Linked DNA regions of Lepisosteus oculatus. The protein of the gene in region 1 interacts with the protein of each later gene in a biochemical or structural test. Links are inferred from orthologs where the notes say so. Each region holds a gene or a part of one and is shown in the gene's direction. Other genes may lie near its edges.

What was found. The genes of interacting proteins can lie anywhere in the genome.
Region 2: the proteins of tjp2b (region 1) and occludin form a complex in vitro, tested with the Homo sapiens proteins (3 studies listed by BioGRID). The link is inferred for Lepisosteus oculatus from reciprocal best matches to the Homo sapiens genes TJP2 and OCLN.

Annotation. Positions count from the first base shown.
Region 1 is NC_090698.1:57,834,355-57,841,390, forward strand, and holds the start of tjp2b (tight junction protein ZO-2b), read left to right. Parts: upstream 1-4,023; 5' UTR 4,024-4,074; coding exon 4,075-4,187; intron 4,188-5,033; exon of another isoform or gene 5,034-5,154; coding exon of another isoform or gene 5,155-5,267; intron 5,268-7,036. UniProt on the Homo sapiens protein: Plays a role in tight junctions and adherens junctions. Acts as a positive regulator of RANKL-induced osteoclast differentiation, potentially via mediating downstream transcriptional activity.
Region 2 is NC_090698.1:67,187,315-67,194,996, forward strand, and holds the start of occludin, read left to right. Parts: upstream 1-4,667; 5' UTR 4,668-4,965; intron 4,966-7,682. UniProt on the Homo sapiens protein: May play a role in the formation and regulation of the tight junction (TJ) paracellular permeability barrier.

The DNA of each region.
Region 1 (7,036 bases):
GTATTGTATACTTCAGACGTTGACTTTTGTGATGAAGTCATAGGAATGGTTTCCTTCTGAACACTCTCCCATGCAGATCATTTTTGTGTAAGCAACGCTGTACTGTGGACCAATGGACAACTGCTCCAGTGGCAGCTAAACGTTTCTGCAGGTCCTTTGCATTGATCTGTGGGTTCTGCTTTGCATATCTGACCCAGATTGTTCTGAGTCTTCCAGATCTTGCCTTGACTACAACAGTTCCCTTTAACTTCCATTTCTTAATGATTTCTAATAATGTTTCTAACAGTTGAAATTGCAAGCTGGAAGCATTTAGCAACCTTTTTATAGCCTTCACGTGCTTTAAAAGAGTCAGTTATCTTTATTTTGTATGAGCCCATAGTTGTTGAAAGTTGGCAGAACAACAATCACAACCTGAGAGGTTAGAAGAATCAGAGTATTTGTTCAACTGACTTAATTTAAGGCCTAATGAGTCAGTCAGGTTTAGGGACCTTTGAAAAACACAAATTAAAAAAGTAGTCATTAATCAGCTGGGAAAATGTCCAATCATTTGCGCAAGCCAAATTAACTTTTTTATCTTTTTCAATATGTTAAATTCAGCAAATAAATAGTAATTGTTCATTCAAGTTTGGAGAAAGATGTCATTTTTACATTTGTGCCATGTAGGTTATCAACTTGGTTTTACTTAGAGATTCACTGAAAATATACAATTTCAGTAGTAATTGTGATTTTACAATGCATGTTTCATATTAAATCTGAGTAATGTGAGTGAAAAGAATGCTGCTTATATTAAAATTTTAAAAGGCTAGATATCAAAACATTCCCTTGGTACCTACAAATTTAATAGCCCTGTAGTCAGTGGTTATATTGTGTGACCGATGGCTTCAATTACACAGTCTGCTTCAGCTGAACTCCTTTTTATGGACATTAATGATGGATACTGTTGTCATTATACAGTATGAGAAGTGGGATTTCCTATTGTAGTAAGGAGAATGGGTTATCTGTGAAAATACAGTGGTATATAAAGATCTAGTCACACTTGTTAACATTAAAGTACAAATGTTTTAGACTGGCATATTACAACAAAAAAAAAATATTTAGATGTACAAGTGATAAGGCACAACAGTAAAAGTACCATATGATCTTTGAACATATCAGATCTTGAAGTAAATGCATCTGTAAAAGCAGGGGAAATACTGTAGGTTATATGTGATTCAGGAAAAAAAAACAGGTAATCAGTTGTTAAAGAATGCAAACTGTGGAACTTAAGGATTTTGTAGCACTTCCAGGTTCACGTGGGTCTCAGGTCGGCCTTCTACTGCTGGGGCTCGAACCTGGGCCTCTGGCGTCACTCAGCAGGGAACCAGCCAGCTGAGCTAAAGGAAAATCTTTATATATTCACAGGGAAGGGCGGTGACATCACCACGCTGGCAAGTCGGCTCGCACAACCTGTAATGTCGGCCGTATGCGTTACAATATGAACATATATAGATTACATTATACCAATGATGGGAATATCTAGTAGGACATCAGTGGGTATAGTCCAAGATTCCAATTATAAAAATATGCAAAGGATGTGCTACGTACTAGATGTTACATGAGCACATTGTGTAAATTCTTTGACCGTACTTTATGCTGTGAAGAGTCGGTAGCTGATTTGTTTTTATATGGGGATAAAAAAGGCTGATATTTACTCTGCGCTATGTTGGGAAGCTGGGAAGCTATTAGGATGATGCTCTTTGGATCCATCAAGATTCTCTGCCACCAATTCTGGTGTCACTTTGTGTATTTTATCATTTAGCATTAAGATTAAGCTGGACTCATTGAGTTCTCAGTAAAGAGGATACTTAATGCTAAAGAGAAGTTTTTCTAGAGGGATTTTATTCTTACACTATATGTAAAATACTTTAATCTATCTACTATATACTTACAGTATATCTATATGTATCCACTATACTTATACTTTGATCATTTTGCAAAGTCTTTCTGTGTACATGAACTGAAAGGGAGATCTCTGACCTTCTTCAATCTGGTTTTCCACCTCAGTATGCAGTATGCATAATTCACATTTATATGTAGTATTCATGCCCTGTGATGGACTGGCATCCCATCCAGGGTGTGTCCTGCCTTGCACCCGCTGCTTGCTGGGATAGTCTCGAGCTCCCCCGTGACCCTGTATAGGATAAAGTGGTTAGAGAATGGATGGGTGTAGCTTTCATGATGTTTTGTGGGGTGGGCCTCTGGAAAGTCTGCTGTAGAATGATCTACCACTCTGCACAGCCTCAGAGAGCAGGCAAAGACTTGCCACTCATGGATGTGTCCTGTTGATGCCGTCGATTGGCCAGCCTCCACCAGCTGTACAGAAGGAGTGGCCAGTCTTCGCAAGGTCAGCCAGGCCCTACAGATATTCAAAGTCCGTTCCTTGATAGGCCTATTAGAAAATCAGACATTTCAGATCATCTTATGGGTACAGAAACCTGTTGGCTGGAGGATGTCAGTGTGCAGCTGTGCAAGAAGGTTGTATTGAATCTGCACCAAGTCTCAAGAGGTTCGCCCCACATTAAGACTCTGCCCTCCCAGTTGGCTTGAACAGTCAGCACTATGCAAGTCAACTTGGAATCTCCACCTGCATTCCACTTACATGCAGGTTATTCCTAGAATTTCTTCCACTGTTCTCTGCAGGCAACAACAAGATTTTGGTAACATGATGACCAATGCCAGATACAGTATTCTAAGCGATGTCTTACAGCACGTTTGAGTGTGGCTTAAAGCTTTAGCATACTTTTTATATTAAGTAGGAAGTGTTAGTTTGGCTTAGTTGAAAGTGTTAATGTTCAAGCAAAGGACTTCCAGTTTTTAAGAACAGCAGCGAAAACATCATTATCTTGGAGTTGGTACAGATGTCACATTTCTAATCAGATGTCAATAAACTGTATCAGCCATAAAGAGTGCAATAATTGAAGTAGAACCTATGTTATCTATATATGTAAATAGTAAATGTAATTCAAAATCATTTATCGAAATTATGACATGGATCCTTTCTTTTAGAAGTCATCATTATAAGTGACAGTATATTTATCTCTTCCTGTCTGGTCTCCAGAAAGAAGTATGTCTGGTATTTTTAACAGCTATGACTGTAAAGTTTGCTGTTGCTGGTGTGTTCCAGTAATTCCATTCAGTTATGTGTGAGAAATGCTTGGAGATGCAGACTTTTGAAAGAAGAATTACCAAAGGTTTCCAAGTTAAAGAGTTCAACTGTGATTTTCCTGACTGATGCTTTCTCAATATTATCAGGATTATCTGACAGCAATGTCTGATGTTGTTTATATTGGTGGTAGGTGGACGCACAGATCTTATTGCTAGCTGAAAATTAGACTTTTCAAAAAGTGTTCCATGACATGATAGACTGTACAGAATAAGCATGTAGTCTGTGCAAAAAACTGTTTTATTTGTTGTGCTAATTATTGTGTATTTAATGGTTAGTTAAATTGTGTTTATTTTATCGTTCTTTGGCACTAAAATCCCTGGGTTTATAATAGAAGCCGCACAGAAGGACGTAATCCATTCGTGCAAGCTGCCGGCACATAATTTCATTTTCCAAAGCTGCATTCCCCTGATATGCTGCCCTGCTGCTCTTCCAAGAGATTATTTTTAAAAGAAATTCTGGGTACCCCCTTTTGGCTTCAAACGCACAGACTTTGACATGGCCGCCTCTAAATTAAAGCAGTGTCGGGGTGATTTTGGGAATCAACAGCAGTTTTTGGGGGGTTAATGTTCCAAGGAATGGTTCAGATTTATCTTTTGGGTTTTATTGGGGATTATGGGGAATGTGGGAATTTACATTATCTGTCAGGGCTTAGTACCACAATTATCCCCCTGGAGCATTTTCATTAGTGTAATGTTTGAAGATCCTTAGAATTATGTAAGAATGACGCTCATGAGATTCAGAAAGCAAATTCTCGATTTGTCAACCAAAGAGTTTTCTTTTGCTCCGAAAAATATCAGTTTAACTAAATGGACCTCTTGCAACCTACATAGTTGCTGGACGGCACATAGTGTAGTCCTGTAGTGTACAAAATGAAGTACAAAAAATATCTAACTATAATGCAAGCAGCTATGGGCATTGCCCCACTGAATAAACGCGAACTTCTTCCTCAGAGTCGGAACTACAGCCTCTGGAAACAAGCAGGGTGAGTGTGGAAACAGTTTTTGCTGGAATGGGTTGAAAGTTATGAGTTTGTTAGGCAGGAATGAGAATTTCAAAAACAAAATGGGCATTCAGAGCAAAATGTTAATTAACAAACAATCTTTTTATGATTAATGTTTTTTGTTGAAGATGAACGGTGTGGCAGTGTGAGAGTTAAGGTGGGTACACAGTTTAATACCAGTTGTGCTAGAGAAGATGAAGCATTTAGGAAAGATCAACACTACAGCAGCCACAGCTATCACAGCTATGCAGTGTAATGCAGTGTTATTTGGTGCTGGGAAAGCATTATGTTTAGGGTGCTTTGCAGGAAAAGTGTTGTTAAGCCCTGCTTTGTAAAACTATAGTGTGCCAAGGTTCTAGATGTTAATTTTATTTTCATGTTATTACCTTGATCAAATTATATGATGATTAAACACAGCATATTTCAATATTCTGTTGTTTTGCTTTTAAAAAGAAAAGCTAAAATGTTTTCCAAAATAGTTCACATGTAGTATTGTGGCAGGTACTGTGTTTTAACGGCTATGTTAAATAATTATGTCTTTATACATTGTGAGGAACTGAGGCAAGGACAAACAGTGAGAAACATATCAGACTGGTCCCAATTGTCTGAATACAGCTGGGTTGGAGAAATGTTCTGGGGGCATTTTTTCAACCACTAAGCTGCCTGAGATTTTGTCTCCCAGTGGCTGGCCGAGACACTTTCTGTGTCTAATTGGCTGTCTCGTGCAGCATGCGACCGTTGTCAGTTTGCGGATGGTGTGTGGTGGCTTTCACTAGCACGCACCTGCACTGGCTTCACAGCAGCTCTCTCCTTGCAGTGAGAGCAGCATTCTGCTGAGGCAGACTGGAATACTGATACCAGACATTACTTGTGAGCAAAGACAAAGACACCAACACTTGACTTCACAAGTGCTAAAGTCAAGACACCTTCTTTTTACTTAACAGCCGCAATGCAGCTGAGGATCCTTTGCATCTTCAAGGAGCTATTAAACATAGCAAGCAATATATGCTTCTTTTGCACTGAAAAGAAGGAAGACCCGTCTCTCCGGCATAGATGCATAAGGTGAAATGGAGTAACTTCTGTAGATGAGGGGTTTGAAATAGGATGGCGTAGCTGTATGCATGCTTTCACTTTGCCCGTTTGAATGCCAGCTGTTTTCGTCTTGTGTTTATTGAAGATGGCTTTATGCCTCTGGTTTATCTGCATGGTCTTCTGAAGACAGGGATTGTGTTTATCGCTCCGATAACAGAGTTGGTTGTTTCTCTGATGCCTGTGTCTGCAGACACTAGCCTGCATGTCTGCAGCAGCTTCATCTTGCTCAGTGCAGGAAGGGCACCACAGGATGAAGTTAGGAAGGGAATAGGCAATTTACAGAGTATTTCCAGCACAATTGATTCTCCAGGCAGGACTGAGTCGGGTGCCATAGACATTGTCTATGGAATGGGTGCTGTTGTTTTTGTGTTTTTTTTTTATAATTTAGACTGCCTTCTGTTGTTTAAACTCAAATCATTAATGTCATTGTCACCTGATGACAATGGTAACATAGTATGTTACTCAAAGCTTAACTGCATCTGTTTTATAAGGAAACGTCATTTGTATCAGAATGTTTAATAGATTAATACCATCAATGATCCATTTTTATTTTTCAAAGAACAAAATGTCATTTTTTATATTTTTGAGGTGGTTCCAGTTCAAAATATTTCATACAGTGAATATTTGTGTTCCTAGGGTAATTATTAACTAAATTCTGTCTGCACTAATTTAAAGTACTACGCCAATACACTGTATAATTTAGTGTAAGAATATATGTGAATGTGTTGTAGATGGTATTATTAATATTTGTAAGATTCTATATAGAGTCGTTTAGCTCACGTGTGAATAATACCCAGTTTGGTTCTTTAAAAAATACAACAAAAAATTCAGAGTTTGCAAATTGTAAAAGAAACAACATTAACCACTCTTTTAACCACAGTCTTTTAACTAGAAACTTCTCAGCAGATAGAAGAAGTTGATTTTCTATAAAGCTTTTAAGGCAGAGTAACACATTTATTTTCTGTCACATCTGTGGTATCCAGTCTAGGCAAAATTTGATAAATGATTTGTATTTCGTATTTTGTCTAGAATTAATAATTATTCATAAAGTAACAGTGGAAAGCATTGATCTCCCTGTCTAATATCCTGCGTAGCTGGGAGAGGCTCAGGCAAGGACTGTTGTCTGTCTGTATGACTTGAAAAAGAAAATGACGTGAACTCATATATTCCCAATAACATTGTTATAGCAGGCATATTTAAAGGTAACATGACATAACATGTGAGTAATGATTAGAATGCTCACCCTAAATTAGTGAAATTCTGACCAATGTAAATCCATTAAAATTAGTTTAAAACAGAATTGGTCACATACTCTTTATTTTGTATACTTACACTTTATTAAATCAACATTCAGACACCAAGTAGTCCTTAGGAAGGATATAAAAAGCTTGGTAATGTCTCATCTTTTATCTCCAATTGGCAATAAATGTGACAATGCAACACCCAGGAGGAAGCCCAAGTCCTAATTTTACATCAAAGCATAAACGTATGATTATTCCTTATTTGCTAAAAATACGTATGAGTCCTCTTTTGATAGAAATAATTGAATTGGTATAGAAATTCTAAAGTAGTCTTATCCAACCTTATGATGTATAGAAAAAGGGAACAGCCCACAATATATCTTATGTGATTATGAAACAACTGTATGGGCAAAATGACTATTAATGCTAATTAGTACAAATCCCCTTACATACATTGTATATTACCCTCATAGTGGATAATTAAGAAAATAGCTCATG
Region 2 (7,682 bases), about 9.4 Mb from region 1:
TATTAGTTCCCCCTCCTTAAGGGTGCTCCAGCCCTTTCACTAAAGACTCTATTCTATGCACCTGCTCCCTATTCCCAGCCCACCTTAAAAGCCAGGCGCTGACGCTCTTCCGGGCTCTGCATCTGATTTCCATATCGTGCGAGTCCGGGACCTGGAAGCGCCTGGTCCCGTTAAGGTTTTAACCTCCGTTCCCATTCCGGTTCCGACCCGGCCTTCATGGTTTTTAACTTGTTCTGATGGATCTTCTGGTTTTGGACTTTCTCGTGTGTTTTGGATATTCCCTAAGGACTACTCTCTCGGATTGTTCGCCTCGGCCACACTCCCCTGTGCACCAGCGCACCGTGGACACGCCCCCCTGTCTTCTGCCCCGTATTCCTGCATGACGTTTCCCTAGTGTTTCCCCACTCCGTCGGATTGTGTCATCTGCATAGGGTCCGGAAAGAACTGTTCGTTACAGGCGTCCCCAGAACCAGGACTGGAAATCCCTGAATCGAACCAGCCCTGGTGGACCCGAAGAGCTACACAATTACAGAGAACTCAGATCACCCCACCCTTGGTCCTACTGGTGTTGTGTAGTTCAGGGCCTCATGAGCCACAGTCTCCACTGATGTTCACTCTACCAAAGCTCTTAATTAGTTAGTTGAATCAAGCATTGATTTAATATCTACTAAAACAAACGGTTTCCACGTTTCTATTCACTGGTGAGTGTGTGAGCTCCCTCTGAAACACAGAGCTGTGTCTTACAACAAGTGAGGATCGCTGATGTAGCAGAAGACTGGCATTCAACAGACTGCCTACCATTACAGTACTGAGAGCAAATTTCAAAGCATTTGCTTGGCGGTGTTCTTGCTTTGCCCGTGTTGCTGAAAGTCCTTTTTTCGGTTCTGCTTAAATAGATGCTTTCTGTGTTGTTTTTGTGGTAGCCTACTGTTATTGAAACATAATCGCACCTTGGCATTGCAAGAAATGTTCAACAGCAGCCACTCCTGTCTTGTTGTGTTTTGTAAACTAACTTGTAAATAAACTTCTACATTTTGACTACAAACAGTGTGTGGTAGATATAGTAGAATATCGATAAATACTTCTGTAGAGATGTTTTCATACTGGACTTGCCTTATATTTGTTTCACTAAAAACATATTTTTCAGGGGTTTTTGGTTTACTTTACCTAAAGTTCAGCTCAGTCTGATTTTTGAATACCACAGAAAGATTCCCCACAGTCACTTAAGAAATGTTTGCCTTAAACGTGAAGTACTATATAGAAATGATCAGCATAGTCTTTTCCCCACATATATTTAATGCCTCCCTAGCTTTTTGTCAAATAAAGAGTCTTGGCAAAGATTTTAAAGAAATGTGGATTGGTTGCTAAGCAGGAAGTACCTCTTTACACAAAGCTACTCAAATCTACATCCATACCAAACCTGACACTGACCTGGCTGTCTCTTTTCTGTCTAATCGCATCTCCGCCATCAAAAACATGGATGTCTCAAAATGTCCTTCGTCAAACTGTGACAAGACTGATGTCATGCTTATTGGCGCCCCCATCAGCTTTGTAAAGCCAAGGCTGTACTTGAACGTCAGTCTAAATGGAAAAATTTGGGGGTGATATTTGATTCAGGCTAGACATCCGACCCACACGTGCAACATATCAAAAACATTTTCTTTCACCTCAAACATATCGCTAGACTATGTCCTATGTTATTGCTACCTGTGGCTGAAAAGCTGATCAACACATTTGTCTTCTCCCGGATCGACTACTGTAATGCTCTACGCGCTGGGGTTTCTAAATCCACACTGAACAAAAAACTCCAGTGTGTCCAAAGATTTGGCAGCCAGAATCCTGACCAGGTCTAGTGCAAGTGATCCCATTACTCCAATCCTGGAGTTCTTGCACTGGCTTCCTGTCAAGTTTCATGTCGACTTCAAAATCCCCATGCTCACCTATAAGGTGTCAAATCCCACACTTCTCCTCGCAAACGCCATGGCATTCCCAAACCCACTGTTTCACACACTCATTCCCACGGAAACCACCACATTCACACATGCATCCGATTCCACAGACTTTCACTCCTGAACCAATTATCCAACCACATCTCTCTCCCTTCAGTATTCAAGCTTCCCTCAGTTACCAACCCACGCACACGATGGAGAAGCTTCCCTTAGAGTTCTCTACTGATTTTCACAGTTCCTGGACTAAACTCTTCCCTTATCAACTTCACTACTTGGATACTGCTTCTCGGATTTCTTGCCCTCGTTTGGATTACCCTGGTAACCTGACTCATTGCTACTTCTCCCGACCTAGCCTCAGGAATCCATGCCTCGGATTAAGTTCTAGTGCTACTCTGCATTCCGCAGAGTTCACGGCATCGCATGGGATCCTCCTACTCAACCTATCAGTTCCTGACATAAGGCTTGGCATGGCTTGGCACCTCAGTACCTGTGTGAGCTACTATAGCCCTACTCCTCACCTCACAACCTTCGCTCTTCTAATTGTGGTCTCCTACCTGTCCCCCAAGCCCATCTACACTCTGAGTGACAGGGTCTTCTCCTGTTATGCCCCAAAGCTCTGGAACTCTTTCCCCAGGAATATCAGAGAGTCACCTTCTCTAAACTCCTCAAAACCCTTCTTTTTTGGAAGAGCCTTTACTTAACTGGTTCTGTTCTTCACCCCTCTGCTCCTGCTGTACTCAGTACCTCCATCTACTGTCTCCTCTCATTGTGTATTCTCAGTGTGTACTGTATATGTTATATTTTTTCATTTTTGTTTTTATTGTTCTATAAAGTGCTTTGAGAACCCACTTTTAAAGGCGCTATATACAATAAAGCCACATGTCGAAAAGCGAAAATACGAATACGAAAAGCCACATGTCCTTATCTATCTTAAGAATTATTTCTATGTCCTCAGCACCATTTTCTCCACAACACATGTACTGAATCTAGGATTCTGCTATCCATGCTTTGTTTTTACTCAGCTGGCCGCAGAGTGGAATTGGGTCCTATATTTAAATCAATTATGGGTGAGATTCTCTGATGTACAGGTGTGAAAAATTAATAACTGATGGTTTTTTTAAAGCTTTTAGCCAAATATCATTTTTAATAATGCCACTATTTTTTTCTTACAAAATTGCGTAAACAACTTGTCAGTAAATTTATTATCAAAACCCTTCATGAAATTATTTGACTATCTTATTACGATGGATTGCAAACCACACAGACTGGAACAATGGTGTTACTGTACATTTCTACTGCCTTTAAGTTCTCCAGATGCAAATACATGCTGATTTGTTGTCCCATTTAACTGTCACGGTAGTCATGTCCTGTTTTGCAGTTATCAAATGCATTCTTTGCTGTGAAGCTCAGCTAGTCTATGTTGCTTCAGCGGCATATTGTTCGGATGCAGAGCGAGGGAGGAGTTGATACTGTATAGAATAATACCACACAAATACCCCAGGGCAACTTTCCACACTGTCAAGCTGGATCATTGGTAAGTCGTGTTGGTGGACCAGCAGATGTACAATCGTTGTTCATTTGAGACATTAAGACAAGATCCTGACTTTTGGTCCTTAAAGACCCTCTGGTCCTGTTCACAAAAGGGGGGCCTACCACATAAGAGTTCAGTATAAACACCTCTGTTTTGGAATTGGATCAGATCAGTTGGATTTCATTTAATAAATTATTCTGAATTGTAATTCCATGTATTTATGTTAACTGCTTTCTTAGATACAATTACAATCCAAATACATATTTGTAGATGCTGGTGGATGCTGCACATTGGTGGTGGTAGAGGGGAGTCCCCATTACCTGTAAAGCGCTATGTAAGTGAAAACAATTATTATTATTATATCTATTTTATCTACATTTTTGGAACCCTAAAACGTTTTCCGGAAAGAAGAAGTTACGAGAATTAAGAACAGGAAAATGATTTGATATAATTTTTCCACCTGTAAAATCTTGGATTGTTCAAATATCGTCTGCAAGAGATGCTGCTTTACTCTCATAATCTTTGCTGTTTGGACAAGACGGGTGACTTTTTTTTTATCTTAATTGGACCAATACATGAGCAATCCACGCTCTCGATTATAGCACGGTAAAAGACGAGCATTCCCTTCCAACTTCACTCTTAATCTTCGCAAAAATACAAACTCTCAATTTGAGTAGTCCAGCTCAGGTTGCTGTAAGATCACAATCAGAGGTTCCCAGTTTTGCTGGTTAAAACTTTTTCTGCAGTTGTCAGCAAGAGAGTAGTTTCTGTCTCGTGATGTGGCAACGGGAAGAAAGACGTTCATGAAAGTTTACTTCACCACTACAGCAACCAAACGACTGCGCATCGAAGGGAGTGTTTCGAATAAACATTCAGATCAAATGTATTAAAACCTACGTAGTGACGAGCATGTTTCTCATGTATGAAAATATGTTAACAGGAATGTGACAAGTGGACGGCTGCCATCTTGAAAATCTGACACGATTGTTTCTATCGATTTCACATTATAGAGTTAAAATGCCTAGGGCTCCCGGTACCAGTACAGATTACGGTTTCGTTGCTTTTATCGTTTTCTCTATTCTTAACCAGCACAGTTATTCAGCTGTGTAATTGAGGAGTGTTAATTAGAGGTACTGAATCCTGCAATTACAGGTAGTCTAAAAAATATCTCCGACAAAAACACTCCACCTACGCGCACAGAAAGTTAACCTGCCAGTATCTACCAGGGGAACCGGTTGGTGTGCTTTGTTATGAATCCAGGTTTGGTCTACGGCGGGGTGGAAATCAAGCCTGACATCACCAATGAGGAACAAGTAAAGGTTTATTTGATGCTGAACAGAGAACCGTTTCGGGATCACCAATGACGTTGCAGACAGGAGCAGCACCAGTCCTGTGAGTCTCTGAGAGCAAGGTGTGTCCTGCGCCAGTATTGGCATACGGGTTTTAGCAGACACAAGGCAGGTGTGGAAATACTGAAGAGGTTTGGTAAGTTTATTGCTTATATATTGTTACGAGTATACGTACAACACGTATTTTATACTTATATTTTGTCTTGTTTAGTAGGTTAACATCAGAGAAGTACATCTGCGGGTGTTTTGTTTTTGTTGTTTCTATTGCCGGTGGCGTTTTCTCCACGTTGTTGTAATATTTTCTTCATGTTCTTTACCTAGTAAGGTTGATTTTTCAATTGAGATAAGAGAAGAAAAAATGTTCCGTTTTTAAAAAACAGGTCAAAATACTGCAGCGAATTATTATTTTTTTAATTGTAAAGTTGCCTTGCCGTAGACGATTATAATTTAACTCGGTAAAATGGTCGTTTTCCTGTCGGAGGCACCACTGAAAATGCTGGTTGTGTTCTGAGAGAATGTAAACATGATTTTCCTCGTTTCAGAAACGATTTGTTTCAGGTTTATTTCAAACGTACACCTGAAAACGTTGCGCAATGGACGAATTTCTGTTTTAGTTTCTTTGCACAGGTGTTTTGTCTTCAGGTATGATAGAGACTGGGCGGGTTTTAATAAACTAACGTCATCGTATTAATCTTAATAAAACTGCCTACTCTTGTTCTGTTCAAACCTGGTTAATCTGAATGGTGTTTTGTATGGCGAACCGAACATATACAGTATTTTAAAAATGGGTAGGTTTCACAAACTTAATGTCCATACGGGGTTATTCACGTTGCCTCTCCTCATTTTTAATTGAGCTTTTGAACTACATATTAAAGAATAAAACGGCTTCGCATTATAAACTGGAGCAGATATGAAATAACCTGTTTCTGAGGTTTGTTACCTGATTTATTCGGTTTTTGTTCAGTGATTGAAAAATGTCGAAAACTTTATTTAAGCTATTTGTTGACACGAGTTGCCTATAATTACGCCAGAGAAATTTGCCAGTTCTCAATATTATTTGCGAGATCTCATTCCTAAAGAAGAATATTCTAATAAGCTTGTAGTGTCAAAACAACGGATCGAATATGACTAATCGAAATTAAAACTGACGGTAGAAAAACCACATGTTCGAAACTACCAAATTTCCAGTTGGACAACTTAAAGCTTATTTGATATTAATTGCGTTTCTTAGATCTCTCCCAGTTCAAAGTGTACATTTTTAGTAATTGGAGATCCGCATACCCTTTTAACTCCCTTTCATTTAGTGAATTGCGTTACAAACGTTTATTTGTGTTATCTTATGGAGGGCTGTTTTATGTTGAGCAGTAATTCATATTTTTATCGCCTAGAGAGCGTTCTCAGATCCTGATTAGCTTTATGAAGATTTTACTTTTAGTTTTCGGGTTTTGCAACATAACCCAGATACAACCACACCTTTTCATCCTTCGCGCTCGGTATTCACAAAAAACACAGTGTTTAGATATGATGATCATGCGTTAGCTTTTATTAAAAAATATATATATATTTTCCCGTTTCAGATTGTTAAATAATAAATGTTTAGTTTCTGTACACCAATTCAAACACTAAGAAGAGTAAATGTCTGACGCATAATTTCTGGTACAAACCTTAATACGTTACTGTGTGTCTGTTCCTCACAGATGTGTTAAAAATTGTATATTTAATTTTTCTTTCATTATATGAAATATCAAATTCCTACTTCTGTAGAATTATTTTAAAACATAAACACTGTGGAATGTTAAAATGTCCACATTAAGGATTTTGGTTATATGGACAGTGGTAATAGTTTTGTGTTCATGGAAAAGTAGGAGAACATTGTTTAGTCAGTGGAAAAATGCAATATACTGTGGTTTGAAAATTCAAAGACTATATTAATGCAGAAATGTTAAAATATTTTGGAATGTGTTTTTAGAGGTCAGCTGTAAGCTATGTATTACACCTAAAGAAGGCTCCACAGCTGAAACATTGTGTTTTCTTTCTTCTCTTTTCAGCATGGAATAAACCTATTACTTGCAGCTGTGTTTTATTCATATTTATTATTCATGGAATAAACCTATTCCTTTGCAGCTATAGATTACTACTTTTCTGCTGAAATAAAACTTGAGTGCTAGTAAATGACTAATACATACCTTTTTATATATCAGGGAAACTTGGCACATATATGTGTGCTGAATTTCACCTTGGGATTGCACAATCTCTTACATAAATGTATTAATTCAGTAGGTGAAATAATATCTTACTCCTGTGCTTTGTACTGGGTTCGACAGTGTGTCATCCACCCAGATGGGTCCTGTAATTCAGTAATGGATAAAGTGTCCCTACTGTACTGTCTTTAAGTCACTTTTGACTTCACAAATAATAAGGATGAAAAGCACAATACAATGGCAGACAATTCCTATTACTGATGACAGTCACCTCACGGGTAACTCACAAAAGTACCTAGCTAACGTTTATATAGACGTTATCCATTGAAGTGCTAGTGTGTTACTCATAAAGGATTAAGACATGGTTTATAGGAGACTCTTAAAATAAAGTGTTACTTTATTTTTATGTGCTGGCAAAAGCCTGATCATCAGAATTTGCAAAGTATGCAATTGTCTTTTGCGTTCTAAAATATCAATCAATCAATTATTGTTTGTTTTTTTTCAGCCATTAGGGTTTGGAAATTCACCTGTTGGGCTGTCCTTGCTGAGAATTTACTGACACGGCAGCTTTATTTTTCAAACTTGAGAATTTGGGGGGAATTTGCAGGGTAGCTCTGCCCTTCAAATGAGTTTTTGAATTTGTTCTAAAGCA